Linked DNA regions of Styela clava. The protein of the gene in region 2 interacts with the protein of the main gene of each other region in a biochemical or structural test. Links are inferred from orthologs where the notes say so. Each region holds a gene or a part of one and is shown on either strand. Other genes may lie near its edges.

Region 1 (9,236 bases), on a different chromosome or scaffold from region 2:
GTTTTCTTATTGGCCTTTTCTGCTGCCTTGGTTTGTTTTCATGTCATCTCAATTGCATTCACTCTATTGGAATAGCAGGATAAACATAATCTAACTGAGTGATTAGGGCCATATTTGAAACCAAAACTGGGACATTTCTGAATGAGGAACCATTTCAATATACCAGATTCGAACTGAAAGAACTATTGACATCGTTTGACAGCCATTTTAAATGTAAAATTGCTGATTTTTAACGGCGCATTATACATGTTCAACAAATTTAATGACCTATACTGAACCAGGAAGATAATAGCTCGACCGAACTTATCACGTTTGAGATACAACTCGTCCAGAGCCGAGTTTAGAGCAAGCTGTGTCAACTGCGAATTACAAACTGTCATTTTAATAAAAATATGTGTGCTTGCACAAATATACCTTGGACAAACGATAAAGAATTCCTTCATTCACATCAGATAAAAAACTGCCTTTTTTAATATTCTACCGAAACACATCAGAATCGATGTAAACTTCATACAAAATTTACCATATTCCAAAGTCCGTCACTTGCAAGTACAATAAATTGTTCTCTTCCATCAACTAAGTCATAGCAATGCACATCAGGTACTGGCGATACTATAAATTCATTTAATTCTGAATTGAAGCTCCATAAATCACCGAGTGAACGTGCAATTGCAAGAAATGGTATTCTGTCAAGTTTTGTGCTTCTAAACAAGAAATAACAATACATAACAAGGGGGATCATTGAGCTTATTGAAAATTACTTGACTAGTATTACAAGCTGAAATTGGAAGGAAATATATTAAAAAATAAATTTTGATAAAATATATTTCTAGAAAAAGGAAAATTTGTCATTTTTCAATACAAATTATACTATGTTAGCATTGTGAGAGTTGGTATATACTACAGTTCAGCAACCGTAATTAACAACACAAAATACTGATATTTCACTGAAATGCATCTGATACGATTGTTTGCATTGTGAAAGTTGGTATATATCAGGGATTTTCCATGTATTTAACAACACAAAGTAATGAAAAATAATGTATGAGATTATAAAAGTTCATTATTTTTATTTCGGCTCATTGCACCATAATATTTATCGTAAATGTTTTACCTTCTGATTGGACCACTGTGTGTTATTTTAGGTCTGTTCCATACGACTCTATTTACTCCAGCTTTATTCATAACACATCCTCCACAGTGTTCAATTCTTTTTTTTTCTTCTGGTAATTCAGGTTTATGATCAACGGTCAGCTCCATAGCCTGGAATAGATATGATATAATGATATCACCAGCACATAGCACCATCATATTTATGAGGTGTTTTCCTTCCCACTTTCTGAATAAAGTTCTTTTAATTAAAAAGCCACTGATAACTTAAGGAGTAACTATTATAAAAAGATTAGTATCTTCCTAGTTCAGCATTGCTCAACTAATTTTTTCACAATCATTCACATAGCTATTGGCATATTTCCGGAAATACTGTAAGTCCGTAATACGGTTTTGCTCTATCTGCATGGGTGTAAGACTTATGGACAATATTCGAAAATTTTAAATCAAAATGAACTGTGATAAGTATTTGGGAAAACAGAACCATTTAGAGCATTTTTACTGATTGTTATGGACCTGAACTGCTTCAATACTTCTGCCAATCAGTATAGTATTGGTAAGTGTGAGTGTATTGGCACCAGGATCGTTTTCGTGGGTCTTGGCGTTTCAGTGGTTGCTCATAAATTTGCTCAGATATGACTCTGATTGAGTGCAAGTGAAGTGTGACCTATCCCTAATAAGTAAATGAAGTTTCAGTGTACATAGCTACTGGATTTAATATTGAAGGTGGCAAATTCCAAAACTCCACGAAATAATGAAAATATTGAACTAAATGAACACTCAATTCAAGAATATACTAATACCATCGAGATAAAAAAAATATAACATTCTGATAAAATTGTTTTGTATAAATGGTAAATTAAGAATAGAAACTAAACAAAACATAAAGCAATTGCAATACAGACTCAGCCTAATTGCTTATTAAATTTGAGCAATGGTTTGTGAAATGGGAGTATCGTATATTGACATCTTTTCTCTTTACACAATATACAGAATAATTGACTAAATTACACCACACAGCTGTAATGGTATACAGAGGTAGGCACACAGTCAACAAAGGTTCTAATACGATGACAAAAAGCATCGACATTGTAATGCAACACTAGTATAGGTTAGCTTTGAATGACCCATCAAAGTATTAATATTTTTGAAGTGCTAAATAAACAAATTCTTTGGTATATCATAAACAGAAACGAGAAATCTTGAAATATGTACAAAGATAATCTGTTGATGACCACCCTATAAACAATATTAACTAGAATCACTTCTGTATATTTTATTAGTAGACGTAAGTTTGGCTGAAACTATATAAGCTAATAGTATAAAAGTCAACATAACAGCAAGTTTTTGTGAAAAATAATAATTTACCTGAAAAGCCCTGGCATTATTTTTGAAGCGATATTCTCTTGTTCCCATGACTACCATTGAATCACCAACATTAGCAACGTACATCTTGTTTCCTCGGATAAGGACCAGACTAACAGTTGTACCTAAAAACAAAAAAAGCAGGTATCACAATATTTTAATATGATGAAGAATTTCTCACAATATAATATAAGCTATACCACATTGGCAGCTGGTATAAAATGATTTAGTTAACTTAGTAATTATTTCTGGCTTGCAAGTTGTGAACAATACATATTTTTTTCCTAATTGAATTTTTTATTTAATTCTAGATGTACCAACATTAAAAGATAACAGAATATAAAAATAGCTAGTTTCTATGTAAAATTTAGTCATTTTACATGAATTAAACCACAAAAATTTACACATACGGTCTATGGACATCCGAAATTAATTGGATATTTCCAGCATATCAGATTATTTAAACATCCTTATTCATGATTTATAATTCTCAGATTGGTGAAATAAGGATATTTCGATGCTGTACATATTCCAGTGAGTAGTGGTAAATATTTGGTCATCTGTTCTCAGAGACAACAAGCAATACCACAGGGTGGCCCCAGAAATGGAACCCATAAATTTTTTAATAACTTCTAAGAACATGAAGACAATTTATTCAACATTCTCTTGTGTGTATAAAATTGTAGGCTACCCAGAGGTTTCAGTAATTCACGACGTTTGACACAAAAGTTATGTCTCTCTAGAAAGCTCCAAAAGACTTGGTTCTGTTTTGGCCATCCTGCATAGATAACAATTATGTAACTAAACATATCAAACATCAATACTATTGATTAGTTGACTTTTAAAGCATGTTGCATCAATAGCATATATGTTCGATAATACTGATTTTAAATCACGCATTCTATTGTTGAATATTTATAAATAAATTTCCCATTGGCATGCAGCTAAGTCATAAGTTATTGATAAGACATTTGTTATAATGAATAACTATGATAATGATTGAAATATTCAAACATGATATTGATTCCTATTTATGGGGTATGTTACAAACCTGCTGTACTGGGATGTCCGTTATACGTCTTTGGCCATGTGGGTAAATGTTGCCACATTTGGTGATGTGTTGCGATAAATCCGTCTTTTATTGACTTCTTAACTTGTTCAACATCTTTAGAAAAAAATCCTTTTTGACATTTAATATTGTCTAAAATATTGTCTCTGGCAAAATGTGCGGCTTCTTTGCCGCCATGTCCATCAAATATAGCAAATGCGGCATATTCCACAACTTTTTTGTTTTGTTTTGCACGTTCGAATTGCACTGCCGTCACATCTTCCATGTATCTCCTTCCTCCTTGATTCACCTCAGCAGTCACTCGTAAATTCCAACAATTTGTGGGAGACATGGTAGACAGCAGATTACATTAGCTTGATATTTGCATACATAAAATAAAACAAATTAAACATAATTATGGAAAAAATTACAAATTTTTTTTTCAGGTTTTGAATTTTTTACCTAAAAGAGCTGTCCCATCTACATAATAGGAACTGGACCAATCTGACCTACAGAAGTTAAAACAACTGCTCGAACATAAAGAATAATAAATATAGCAAAAATGAAGAAATTACAGTATGTTGAAACAAAGGTTACAAAAAGGTAGACTAGAATATTTCGGTGTTTGTTCAAAGCAAGGCTTCGGGAACTGAAATCTATCACATTTTCCAAAATAAGTTATTTCGCCATATCTCAAAAAATTCGAGAAAAAATATTTGATCTTAAAATATATATATCTTTTAAATAAAAGTACCTGGAGATGTCCAAATGAAATGAAATATTTGAATATGCAAAAATTATGCACTGAATTTTTTTTAAATTTAAACAAAAAAAATTAACTTTAGAAAGTTTTACCAATGAAACTGAGATTTGCTTAGCACAAAATGCTTGTGAAAATAGAAACTATGGTATCTATAACTAAAAATGGTACATGATCTAATAAGAGCATATTCTGTATACAAATATTTTATCAAAAATTCCAAAACATTCAAATTTTTCAGTTTTTGCCATCTATGCACGTAATTTGTATTTCAAATACCATATAAAATTAATTATTTTGTCCTATTTTTTTACATGATTAAGAAACAACAAAAAAAATAAACACAAACAGATACACGTATAATACAACTTTACAGCCCGCGAATATGTCAGTATTTATTATGATAGCATAGTTGAGTAGTAATGTACAGGAGTAGAATAAACGAAGACTTCCTGCACGAAGAATACAAAGTAGATGTATATTATAACAATACCTACCACGAAGGTGCAAAAATGAAAACTTTATGCACAATATTTTGCTCAGGTAAATGGAAGTTTTTTAGATTTAAATTACAAAATATTATGGAAGATTCTATAATGTTCAAATTCAAACAAATATTATACCAGAAATATTCATTCTAGTTTGAAAAACTAAAACATGTTCTTGTTTCAATCAGTTATTCGCACAGTGCCTACTTTTATATCTGAAGATCTCAATATATATATAAACCAATTATAGTGTTAATTTAAATCAGTTGAAATGTTAATTTAATAAGTTAAATTTACAAATTATTTTTGATTATTACGAATCATTTTGCTGTATAATGAATCAGTTTATAACCACCAATCATCTAAATAAATAGCAGAATAAAAAACGGGGATCCATTATTCATTGTGCAATGATATAACAAATTTCAGAGGCAATATAGCGACTATAATAAAATCATACTTAAAAATACAGATTCGATAAACGAATTATTTTTTGCTGAAATTGCTGAACAAATACAGAGGCAATAGAGCTACTATAATAAATCATACTTAAAAATACAGATTCGATTGAAAGAAATTTTTATACTGAAATTGCTTCCCAGCTCCAACACGTCATGTCAGTCCATCTCCGAATTAACCAATTTCAAATTGCCTGAACGCAAATTTTTCAATCAATATTGCACTCTTATACATTGAAGATTTCAACACAGTAAACCAGAATAAGCAAACCTATTTCAAACTATTCAGCTTTGGATCGTTCTTCAGCATCCACTTCTGCAAGTCTTCGCGAAGCATCAACCAAATGTATCAAACTGATCACTGCTTTTCCGATCATGATGGGTGTACTGAGGTAAAGAACCAATCGGACAAGACCGAGATTCAATCCAGCGAATTCTATCAACGGGCCTTCAGTGAAATGCAAGAGATACAGCATGGCAAAGAATAATTCATTTCCACTGCACATTGCAAACAATACAGGCCGGGATGTGTAGTACAGCCGCATGATCGGGTTCCCCTCTAAACCAATGCTTTTGTGACTTGTTCCTCCAAGCTGAGAAACATGCAAGTGCATCCAATGGCTTACAATATCAAGTGCTAAGCTCATTTGAAACCAGAACATATATTGAGGGTAAAATGTAGCAAGTGCCACACATAAACAAGCTGTGGCCGCACGGTCCGTCAACTGATCCAACATTGCACCAAACTTTGTTCCTTGATTAAGAAGACGAGCTGCATGACCATCAAATGCATCTAGGAATCCACTGAGAATATAACACGCGGCAGCAATAATATAATTTGTTTTGATAAAGTAGAATGCTACTATAGCAAGCACGATTCTCCCATAGCCAATCAGATTGGGTACAAACATAAAAATATCATGTGCAGTAACTATCTTTTTAGTCATTTTGATCTACGAATAATTTATAATCTGTGAAGGCAATTGAAATACTTATGAAATTTAAAAGTGCTTAACTGTTCAAAAATGATATCATATATACTACATAAAAGAGATGATTGATAATTCTGTAATTGTCCAACAACCATAGTAATAATTCAGTAATTGATAAAAGGGTATTTTTTCGAATGAAGTATTATAATACTGTAATACTTTTATTTGTAAAACATTCACAGATTCAAAGTGCAAATTAGCTGACCATCCCAGCCTATACCATTCAGCCATATCTGCATACAGGCATAGCTGCATAGGGGCATATGAAAAGAACAACTCTTAAAATTTGCTACCTCTGTACCCGGATGCAAATTATCTACCTACCCTACTATCTGACTACGACATTAAAAAATATTGCGCTGTGTTGGAGAACAGAAGAATGACTGCAGAATTTGTCTGCATGTAAGGACATATTTCTGTATTTTCAGTATGTATACAAAGAGCGAACATATAATTTATTACAGTACGGCACACACAGACACATAAGATCTGAAGATTCCATGACTGTCTGACTGTGTTGATATGCTGATATATGAAAAAAACACCGTCTGACGGTGACATTACAGCATTAAGACTGTAAAATGGGTAAAACGAGGAGCAATATCTGGGTATGCCGTAAAATAAATACTGACATAAGATTGTAGGTTAGTCTATAATGTTTTCCAGACTATTAACAAAGCTAAATTGTGAAATTCATTCCTGTCGATTATTATTTTTGCCTGTTAATTCCAATTTCAGTTAAAATAATTGATCGCTGTGGAAGTTTCAGAATATTATTGCATGGTCTGATTTCCGATAGGAGAAAATAAATATACATTACCCATATAAAAATTGTATTGTAGCACTGCCGAACACATGAAGGGCGATAAAATACAACAGCGTATAGTCACAATTACAACTTATCGTAGAGCAAAAAATAAACAAAGTCCAGAATTCAAACACAAAGACTAAAAGGCGCAACCAGCAACGTCTGTTTGAAGAGCAGGAGCGCCCCAAGTGGATATTATTTTGTAATTTATTTGTGACGCAACAAAGAAAATTATGCATCCGTTGGGTATTTAAATTTAAAAGAAATTGTTGCGTAACACAAGATAATTAATCAGCTGTTCGTGACGAATCATAAAATGGATACTGAACAATTAAAAACCAGGAAGATTTTATGTCTGGTTTGTTGAGAATCAAATCAGATGGCCACTGTTTGGATGATTAAATGTCCTAATTGCTACATCCTAGGATATTTTGCCCATAATTACGTACCAGTTTTATACGCTCAATCATTATTTATTTTAAAACTGATATTGCAACTCATTCAAATTAAATTACTTTCATGGGTTCTAACGTTTGATTCCGTGGAGGATAATTATGTGTGAGAGGATTGCTGCCACCGCCGTGGGATGGTATACGTAACCACAGGTCGGTTACAGCTTCCTCTACCAACAAATCCATGTATCTGAAACAAATACCTGGCTAATCCCATAAGTCATAAGATATAACATATGCGATTCAACAAATCTTACTTCGAAAGTTATCTTCGTATTTTAAAGTTAGGGAATGGCACGGCGGTGTGGCTCAACGGGTTAAGCGTTAGGAATACGCTCGCCACCGCACCTCTAATTACTCTGCGTGGGTTCGCAGGTTCGAATCCGATGTGGAGATGGTTATGTGCGAGAGGATTGCTGGACTCCTCGCCGTCGTTGGGTGGTTCGCGTAACCGCTGGTCGGTTACGGCTCCCTCCACCACCAAGTCCATGCTCCCGAAAACAAACAATATAACTAATCCCATACCCGACTTGGAATGGTAACCGGACGAGAGGCCGCGGTTCGTCATATGGATAAGCCGTCTTATCGGCTCTCCTCTCCCCGGGAAAAATGTGTATATCCTATCCAATGGAATAAACATATAGTGATTCATCTTCATCACGCTCTTATATTTTATATGTGATTTTATATATGATTGTCTCAAACAAATTTCAAGCTGAATAAATCTTTTATGAAGGTCCATTTGAATGTCATTAACTGTTTTACAAACATCCTCCACTTGAACTGTTTCTAATTTCGCGTTTGTTTAACTAATAATAATATTATTAAAATGCATACTTATAAAATGGTTTTATGCATTCAAGTTTGTGCAATAAAACCGAATGTATAAATTGTTACTAATTCTACTTGTAAATTGTTGTATCCATGAATGTTCACAGCAGCGATTTTACAGCGATAGAATAGTGTAAAATGTTTATTTCACCACAATTGAGTAGGTGACATATTTTTTATTGTTCAGCACGAAATGCTATCTTGCAATGTGCTTCGTACTTCTTTTTCTAATTTTAATGAAAAAAAAAATATATATCCGATAATTTGTTGAGAAAATTTGTTGCACAGATCTATTTGTCTAACTAAGCAGGTTATAATGCTCAAAAGTTAAACGAATAGCAGATCAGAATTCCAGTGATAGTTTAATTTATCATTATTTACTTGAGAGGGTTTTCAAAGTAGCTAACAACTTACAGAGACAGAAGAGTAGAGACAGACAGTACGAAGATCAAGTCATAGGCAAATGTGGTATTAGCCGAATTCTACATATCTTTCAGTAATTGGAGGATAAATTAAGTGAAAGTGGATAATTCAAGTTGTGGAATACACAACAACATTATATGTAAATGGTGCAAGACTAAAAGCAACGTTTATTTAAGTCAATATAAATTAGCAAATAATAAAGTTTCGAGAAACAATGTTCATGGTACAAAAAAAAATGCAATCTTCTCAAATTCGAGCTTAAGATTGGATCATGTAAAATAATACAGCATATGCTTTTCGGGACCAAAGTTTATGGTTCTGATTTTATAAATATATTGATACTGTTATGCATTGATAATAAACTAAAATGCCCGTTGTTAAATGTTTTTGAATTCTCTTTCAATTCCCAATGAGTTGAATGAATATTCAATGCGCAACAGATTTTGGAAAGATAGTTTTTTTTATTCAACATTACACTTTTATAAAATAAATCAAAGATGA
Region 2 (8,931 bases):
ATATCAAACGTATAAGTACAATCCTGTCCTCGACCAAATGTATATATATCTTCCCGTAGGTCTGAAAATAAAATGGGGAAAGAAACATTATGAATAGGCCATAAGAAAAGTATTACAAACTCTTACAAGGTCTCTGCTATAGGAAAACAAGAGCGCTAAATTTTCCTCTGACCAGACTGTTTTTGACCTAGTCGTCTATACACTGATAACAGACTAACTGCCAATACCCCTTTAGTATCACTGATGTTTTATTATTAGAAAATTGGCCATGATGAATCAGTAATTACGAACGTATATTAGACCTAATCATGTTGGTATGGCAGATTGAAAATTTAGGGTTCAAACACCATGGCCATCAATATCATCACACCCAGGCATTAATAAATTAGGCTGACAGTACCAAAACAAAAAAATTCCGGACTTTTCAAAGATTATAGATACGTCTTTATTGACAGCATTAAGTTGCCATTGAAAGGTCAATATATATTATAGTTGATTTTTGTTGTCAATACATAAATATGTCCAAGATTAGTACGAAGAAGAAGTAAAATAGTTTACTAACCAAAAGGATAAAAGCATCTATCAATTGGATATAAAACACCCCATGAAGGTTCATCTGCATCTGCACCTTCATCTGACACAGAGGCTGGTTCCTGTGTTGGCACTGTTTCAGCACTGAACAAGGAAATAAATTAGGGTTAATAATATTTAAAAGGAATAAGAGACCAAGAAAATTCAACAAATCTCAATGGATAAAACAGACCTGTTTTGATTATGAAATTAAAAAAAAATTTACCGTAGGCTTCTACATATCAATAAAAATTAAACCAAAGAGAGATATACCAGACTTGATTAGTATACTAAATATCAACAATTAACGTTAGCACAGTCTGGAATGGCAAAAACCAAATATTATAGTATTCCGAAAAATTTCCTGAATAATAATTTCAAATATGGAATAAATAGCCTATAGAATAATTCAAATAGGGTCATGTAGAACAGATAATATGTAGAAGTTTATGTTTATTCAAAGAATTTCAAATTGATAATGCAGGAGAGTCATAACAAAAAAATGATTAGATTTGTTCTTTATTTTCGAAATCAATTAAAGCTGTTTTTTGATTTTTCAATTTCCTAAATTTTCCATTTGTTTTGAATATCCCTAGACATAGACATCATGATAACTAAGAATTTGGTCAAAGGAGCCATAAATACAATATATGAACTCTTTCTTATATCAGTGAATATCTTATATTATGTGAAAACTCTCAATCAATATACTCCATTTTTAAATTTGTATGTTGTCAGACTAGGACAGGCAATACAGAAAAGAGTCCATCCACTCTCATTAACAATGCGTAAGAAACAGAAATGGCTTAAAATTTAAAACAAATTTTAAGACACATCTTTATATTTTCATCCGCATTACTATACCACTTTTGTAACGCACTACCAGGAACAATGAAGGCTGGTTGAGCTGACTTAAAAGTGGATTAGGAGTACACATCCCCGCATTCCAAGCATATCTATACTTATGAGTTATATATACTGATTAAGGTTTTCAAAAATATTCTTATGGCCTATTTATAACAATTTGAACATATTGTAAATTTTTTCATATTTTGACATGGAATTAACAAAGTAAAAAATCCAAGCTTTGAGTTGTTCAGATATATGAACACACAGATAGACTGGATAGTGTTGGAAGCAGTAGCTAAGAAACACCAGATTTTCAAAGACTTGGCACATGAATACTTGAAATATATAAAGAAAAATGAAAAATGTTAGACTTTTCTAGGGCCCTAAGGGTTGAGCTTGTCCTATTTCAATAGCATGATAAAAATAATAATGAAAGATAAATATAACATGTAGGGTATATTCATTCGAGATGTCGAGTGGGAAAATTTATAATCAACTATAGTGCCATTTAAAAAAAGAATTTAACGTGGGGTCTAAGTTGACAAAAATCCCAACCTTCAATCCCGGACGTTTATGAGATTATGATCCAGCTCAAAAAACCCAAAACCTTTGGTTAAAAGACTGTTAATAAGAACGCTTAGTAAACCTAATGCTTTCTGGGTTTCTGCGAGTATTTTGACTTTGTTCACTCTCATTGAAAGTCCAACTTTAGAGATTTTAGAATTTGAATATATGACTCCAGCTCCAGTGAAAACTTTACATATTAGACTTTGAATTCAAGCACTAATCAGAGAATTAAAACCTAAAAGTTGTTTTAGTCACCTGGAAACAGTATTTGCAGTTCCACTCGATGATGAAGTACCAGTTTGTCCACTGCTGCTACTACTTTGTTGATTTGCTTGGCTGCCGCTCACACCAGAACTTTGAGGCTTTTCTTCTTTCCCATTTTGACCAACATTTGAGTTCTGGTTTTCATTCATTTTTTTTAATCCTTCTTTATAAAATTCACAGTGAAGAATATACATATATATGTTATCCAATCATATTCCAATCGTAAATTCATTTTTGATTATTTTAAACATGTGAATAGAGAACAAAATAAAGTTAACAAATATACTGCCAAGATATATTGTGAGATAAATGAGCTGACAAGCAGTATAAAATGAAAGGCTGTGCGATGCGAACTGAACGGAAAGGGAACAATTTGAAAAATGAAAATGCAAAGTTTGCAATTTTGACACACACAAAATATACAGTAGTATTCAAATGGCTAATATGATGATTCAAACTCGGGTATAACTGTGTACAAGAAGATTAATAGAGTGGTTTCAGTAACTGCTGATAAATTACAGTCTCCTACCAGCAATAACTATTTACCTTGGTAAATGTTATCATTTGCAAATGGACTAGAATTGAAGGGTGTGGTCCACAACACGCCTATTTGTGCTTTACAAGTCTATTTTGTGCTTTCCTCTACTGGGGCTATATGTAATACTAAAAGGTACATATAAAAATTTGTGAATTAATATTTGCAAATTGACAGTAATAGTAATTCATTACATTTTGTCATTAAATGATTATTACAATATAATGGCTCTATGAGTATAAGTTAACACTGAAAGCAGGCACTGTTTATAACATTAATTTTATGTGGATGCAAACGTAGAATAGTATTCGAAAGTTGATTGAAAGAATATTCAGAATAGCAGGAAACTAATGCAGAGAACAGAGACTATGTTTTAGAACATAATGTCAACATTGATGGTGAAAATGTACAATAATCGTACAAAATTTTAATCTAGTATAAAGCTTTCAAGAGCCTTCCCATGAAAAATGGAATTGAGGGGAATTCTGAGTAGTAGCGAGAAAGGCTGGGAAACTTGAGCATGGAGCCATGAGTTTCGTTAAATCTGGAACTACCAGAAATTTTATTAGCTACAGCTCCTAACCAATTTATAATTTTTTCAAACTTTTAATTTTCGAACCAACTCCGCGGCCCTGGTAGCGAGATAAAAGTCTTGGACCAAAAAAAAAAAATTCAAAACTGTCGCCTCACTTTACAAAATGTTCATGAATATAATAAAAGAAAATAGAATGATAATGGATGAAAGTAAGGAAATAGACATGACAAAGATAGGTAATAACACTCATAACAGGACATTGAAAGTAAATTTTTAACAAAGAAGTGGAACATATACAATAAAGCAAACCTCATTAATTAACAAGGTATTGAAATAAAATTTTTAATTAGTTTGCTAAAGATGAGTGCTTTTTTTGTTAGTCTAATTATATTCAATATTTAAAATGACTATAGCTACTACTCGAAAATTCATAGACAAAAATTTCTTGTAATCTGAAATAGTAGGCCTACATAGCAATCACTTGAAAAAAATAATAAATGTCCTAGCAGCAAATTCTCATACTAAAGTTATAAATATGAACAATTTGTTCTGGCAAAAATTAGAGCTATTCATTTACGTCATCCCGTCATGAATATTAAAAGTTGACTAAAGTAATAAAGTAGTGAATTAAACAACCTTACTTAACTGCACATGCAATACTAATTCCAAAGAACAAACATACGACTATAAGTTAAAAATACACCAGATATAGAATTCTCAATCCCACTAAACAATGCTACCAAAAAAGCACAAAAAGTTACAAATGATTCCAATGTCAATTAATCCAAATATCAAATAACCAGAAAATTACAAAAAATGCTATTAAAGGATCACCGTCCAGAAGTCTAATTGAATAAACCAGTGCTTTACAAACTGTTTGGTTAGGTGACACACTAAATTAAATAAAAAATAAATTTGCAAATATTTTAATCTAAAAGTTGTTGGAAAATTTATAAATGAAATGTATCCCTGTATATAGGTTAAAGCACATGAAAATCCAGTAAATCAGAATCGTTAATAAGGCGAGAGCATCAAAAACGATATAATCTATTAAACTGTAAATATCTAGTGTGGAATTATGTTTCAAGGCTGATAGACAACATGCAATCATACTCAATTGAGGCACATATGAGTCGAGACTACAGTTTTAAAGTCACAGAAATTTACTATTTCAATAGCGTATTTTTTCATTATATTTCTTGGCCTGTTTATTCAATATATATTGGGAATTCACAAATGTGTTTTCTTAGTAGTTGAAGACTTATCAATATCTCCTGCATTAACTGCGAGTGAGTCCAATGATTGTTGAATCTCGCTGTTCACCATCATTAATTTTTCACACATATTATGCGAACTATTCTCAGGTCCGATTATAGCAAAAAACTTTTCCGAGCTTTTATCTTCTAGATGTTTGAAATAAATTTTGATAAGAATATCAGCTGCGGGTTCATCAATAGCTCCGAACGCCTCAGGCACCCAAAGGGTCCGAAGTAGAAATAACTGACGTATTGCCAGATGTACTTGTTCGCTAGAAATACTAGATTGAAGTACTTGTTCTGCTTCTTCCACTGTCATAGATTTTAAATCATGCAACATCTCTATGTCTGTTTTATCTCTATGTGCTTGAAAAGTTTTCTCAACAACTAGGATTTTCTTTTTTAGCATTCCGAGTTGTTCAGTAATATTTTTCGTTTCGACGGTACTCAGTGATACCAAGTTTATCAGCTTGTTAAAGCTTTTCAAAAGTAGCAAAAGCTGAAAGTGAAGTTTGTATAACATTCGACAGAGTTCCAATTGTTTGTATTCAATCCCCTGAGATTTTGTATTTATCTGTTTTGTGTTACCATTTTCAAGACTTTTTATCAAGTCCATACACTCTGATGCAGCTTTTTGTTTTGCGTTGTAGGAATCTAAATGATCCTGTAATTCTGAAACACCAAATTTCATTTGTTCGACCACTGGTTCAATAGCGCTTTTTGTAGCGAGACAAATTGGGCATTTTATTTGTGAGGGCAGTTGCTCGACCATGGAACTAAAATGTTCTGCAATTCTAGATAATTGCCCACCTAGATGTTTACAACCATCTTTACTTAAATTACTGAAATCAATACATAATACTTTGAAAAGCATTGGAAAGAGATCAAAAGTTTTTGAAATAAATGCAGAGTCGTTATATGTTGCCATAGAAGCGATGTGAAGTTTCCATGTTGTATATGTCGTGTCATGGTAAGCGGTTCCATCCTTTACTTTAAAACTAGTAGAAACCTCATTCGGAAGTTGTAAAGTTTTGACGGGAGAATCCGTTAGCTGCGATAAGAAATGAGAAGGTGAATCAAAACGAATTGCAGTCAAGTTTGAAGTGATGTCGCTAGTAGGTGGTGGTTCCACAATTGGAATATCTATCTGACCAAGAGTGTCATCAGAATGAGGCAAGGATTGTAGAGACAAGGATGAAATGGTTGGAGGTGGTGGTGTGCCTAAATTAGTCAAACTTGAAATTAAAGTATCAGTTTTATCCATTTCTAATTGAAGTTCTTCAGATGATGAAATCGGGCTGTTATTTGTGAGATCGTTTTCCAGTTCATCTAAATTGCTCAAAGACTCAGAAGTATTTTCTTGATCGTTGGTCGATTTCTCAAATTCTGATGTTTTCATCGATTCTGAAGAAGATAGATTTGACTTTGGATGTATAGCACTCTCACTTTGAGTGAGTGATCTGGAGTGAGTTTTTTGTGACAATTGTGGAGAATCAGCGATGTTAATGCTTTCTACGGACGATTGCGGCGTGTTCTTTTTTCTTTGTTTCTCGTTTTCTGCAATTGAAGAAATCATTATCATAGAGGAGTGAGTATCGGTGGTCTCAACATCAGTAAATATACTTCTTGTCCCACTCCATGATTGCGACAAAACACCAGAAGTGAGTGAAAGTGTTTGGTTATAATCATCGTCATCCTGACTGTGTAGAGATGTAAGCTCATCCTCTTCTGTCGGAGTTTGATCCAGATCTTGACTCATGTCATGATTGGCGATTGGTGTAAGATTATAAGTGTCGGGGTCTTCTTCTGTTACACCAGCTTCATTATCTTGACCGCTGGGAGTTGAAGATTGATTTTGAAGTAGTGCAAATCCTTCTTCATTGTCCTCCAGTTCCTCGTCAAGAAAATCAAAATTCCGTAAAACTCTTATATCATCAATACCACTTCCACTCTTATCACTCTCCGTATCACTTTCACTCTCATCCTCATTAGAGTCGTAAGATTTTCCATCGACATCCTCATCTTGAGTGGGTGACATCAGCCTATCAGGTGACTGGTGATATTGGTTCATTTCTTCTTGTGTCGGGTCATGAGACATTTGTAGATGTTTTCCACATATAGGGAGAACACATACAATACTATCGTAAGTACGTTTTTGAGATAAGTGAGGCCTTTTCCAACTCGTTACAATTGATGAAGCAGTGCTTGGGTGGTAAGAAGGAGAACTCGAATGTGGGTGACGTTTACCCATTGATTCATCTGTACGTCGTCGTCCAACAATTGGGGTATTTGAAAGGTTATATTGGAAAGTTAAGGTGCGTCCCGGGAGTTCAAGACGATCCATATCACCACTCAAACTAGAGCTTGTTGGGAGCATCCCAGAAGCAGTTGGCGTGGTGATTGCAGATGATCGAGATACGGCCAGTTTTAAAATATTTAAAGCCTCTTTCCATAGTTTTGTGCTGTTAACAAACTTTGATACAGTACGTAAAATGCTCTGCGTAAAGTCAATTTCCTCAGGGGAGTTTGAAAGTAATATTTCCGACAAGGATAACATGCTACAAATAAGCCTCAAACATGACAGATGAGTAGAAACTGGCCCTTTATCCAACAATTCAATCAAAAATGTCAATTGTTCTCGTATCGAATTAGGAAATGTTTCATGAATATATTTGCATACAACGCTGATCCAAGTCAAGCAGGGTTTGCCATATGAGCGATTGCAGTAAAGACTCATTACGTGAGCAAGAGATTGTAGTTTTTTCTTTTGTGGAAAACTGTCCAAACAAACTTGAGCTACATTATGTGCAGCATCTAAACACATTTGATCTGGGTCATTAAAACAGTCCAATAAATGGGGCAGAAGCGAAATTACATTCATTGAAAAGCCACAACCTTGATCTGCCTTGCCAGATATGAGTGAAAAATTTGATAAAGTAGTAAATGAGGATAATATGTTGAATGTGGCATTGTAGGTGACAGATGACGTAAGACCTTTCAGAAGCATATTTTGAATTCCATGAAAAGACGTCCACTTTATTTGAGTAACATATCTTTCTATTAGTGAGCGACTTTCCGCCTCTTGTAAAGGCAAATGGGAAAGTACTTTCTCAATAAGTTGAACAGCAATGAGAAATTCGTGTTCATAATCCGATTCCAACAAGGCAACACCAATCCAAAATATTTGAGCAAATGTCATTTTCCTTTCCTTGGACGAACTGTGGGGTCTGACATAGCATGACAATCCTACACCAGTTTCTGAATTCATTGACATACTATGACCAGTGCTCGCAGGTCGACGAAAACTAAGTTGAGCTGAAACTTTTCTTTCCAAATTTCCTGACTTTGTTCCTTGAAATGATTCTGCCTCCTTAGGTGGAGATGAGACTGAGTTTGCAGATGACACATCGGATTCAGTAGAATTGTGACATAAACCTGCTGTTGGTACACTAGATGAATGCATGATATCATCAACCATTTTCTTCGACAAAGTTACAGAACCAGATCTGCGATGTGCATGTTTACGTCCTCTTATAGTTGATTCTGGTTGAGCTGTTGCATTCTGTGATGGCAAAGATAATGGAGCAGCACCAGATCTATTTGGACTAGCAGAGTAATTCGGCAAACGACCTGGTGTTGGAGACCTAGGTTTTTTGATTTGCTCAGAATGAACATGCAAAGAGTGGGACTGCTGTGAATTTAAACTTGAGTCTGCTGCTGTTGTGTTACTAAAAGAGGCTTCACCAGAAGACGATTCTTTTCTAATCAATGAAATATCACAATCATGTAGTAAAGTTACAAGAATTTCTATTACTTGTGATTGTGTTTCTTGATCATTACCATAAACAATCCGATTCAAAAGGCAACGGACTAATTTATTGAAGAAAACTGGCGATAATGGTAGTTTCAAAGCACGAAATACCTGCAAAGATCGATTGGCATGGTGCTTGTTATAAGTTGCAATTGCAAACTTTGACGCTTCACTTCCAAGTCTCTCCCTAACCTTTAGTCTGGGTATTTGTTGCTCAAATAGCTCAATTGTTTTCTGCACAAATGCAGACAGTTGTTCTGTACTGTTTAAAAATAAATTTTTTGGATTAACAACTTCATAAGTCCATAATTGGGTCGTGGCACTGATCAAATTTTTCAAATGTGATGCACACAAATTTTTCAATTGACTTTCGGTTTTTACATGTTCAGAAGGCTCTGTTTCTCCATTTTCAGAAATTGATGTTATTTCCGTATACGAGTACCTGTTATCATCACCTGCTTTGGCATATTTCAACTCATTAGATTTTGGTTGTAAATAGGTAGTAATGGATTGCTGTGATAGAGTATGGATTGCAGAATCCTGA

Evidence for each region.
Region 1: of the proteins of serine/threonine-protein kinase Chk2-like (region 2) and uncharacterized protein LOC120337247, one has a biochemical effect on the other in vitro, tested with the Homo sapiens proteins (2 studies listed by BioGRID, with this or other methods). The link is inferred for Styela clava from reciprocal best matches to the Homo sapiens genes CHEK2 and PPM1D.

The regions. Positions count from the first base shown.
Region 1 is NC_135259.1:13,993,689-14,002,924, reverse strand, and holds the start of uncharacterized protein LOC120337247, read right to left. Parts: upstream 3,918-9,236; 5' UTR 3,876-3,917; coding exon 3,527-3,875; intron 2,601-3,526; coding exon 2,479-2,600; intron 1,264-2,478; coding exon 1,115-1,263; intron 705-1,114; coding exon 524-704; intron 1-523. Other genes in the region: CDP-diacylglycerol--inositol 3-phosphatidyltransferase-like, read right to left, coding at 5,511-6,176. UniProt on the Homo sapiens protein: Involved in the negative regulation of p53 expression. Required for the relief of p53-dependent checkpoint mediated cell cycle arrest.
Region 2 is NC_135252.1:13,799,991-13,808,921, forward strand, and holds the start of serine/threonine-protein kinase Chk2-like, read right to left. Parts: upstream 3,456-8,931; 5' UTR 2,445-3,455; coding exon 2,242-2,444; intron 676-2,241; coding exon 563-675; intron 62-562; coding exon 1-61. Other genes in the region: protein furry homolog-like, read right to left, coding at 4,551-8,931. UniProt on the Homo sapiens protein: Serine/threonine-protein kinase which is required for checkpoint-mediated cell cycle arrest, activation of DNA repair and apoptosis in response to the presence of DNA double-strand breaks.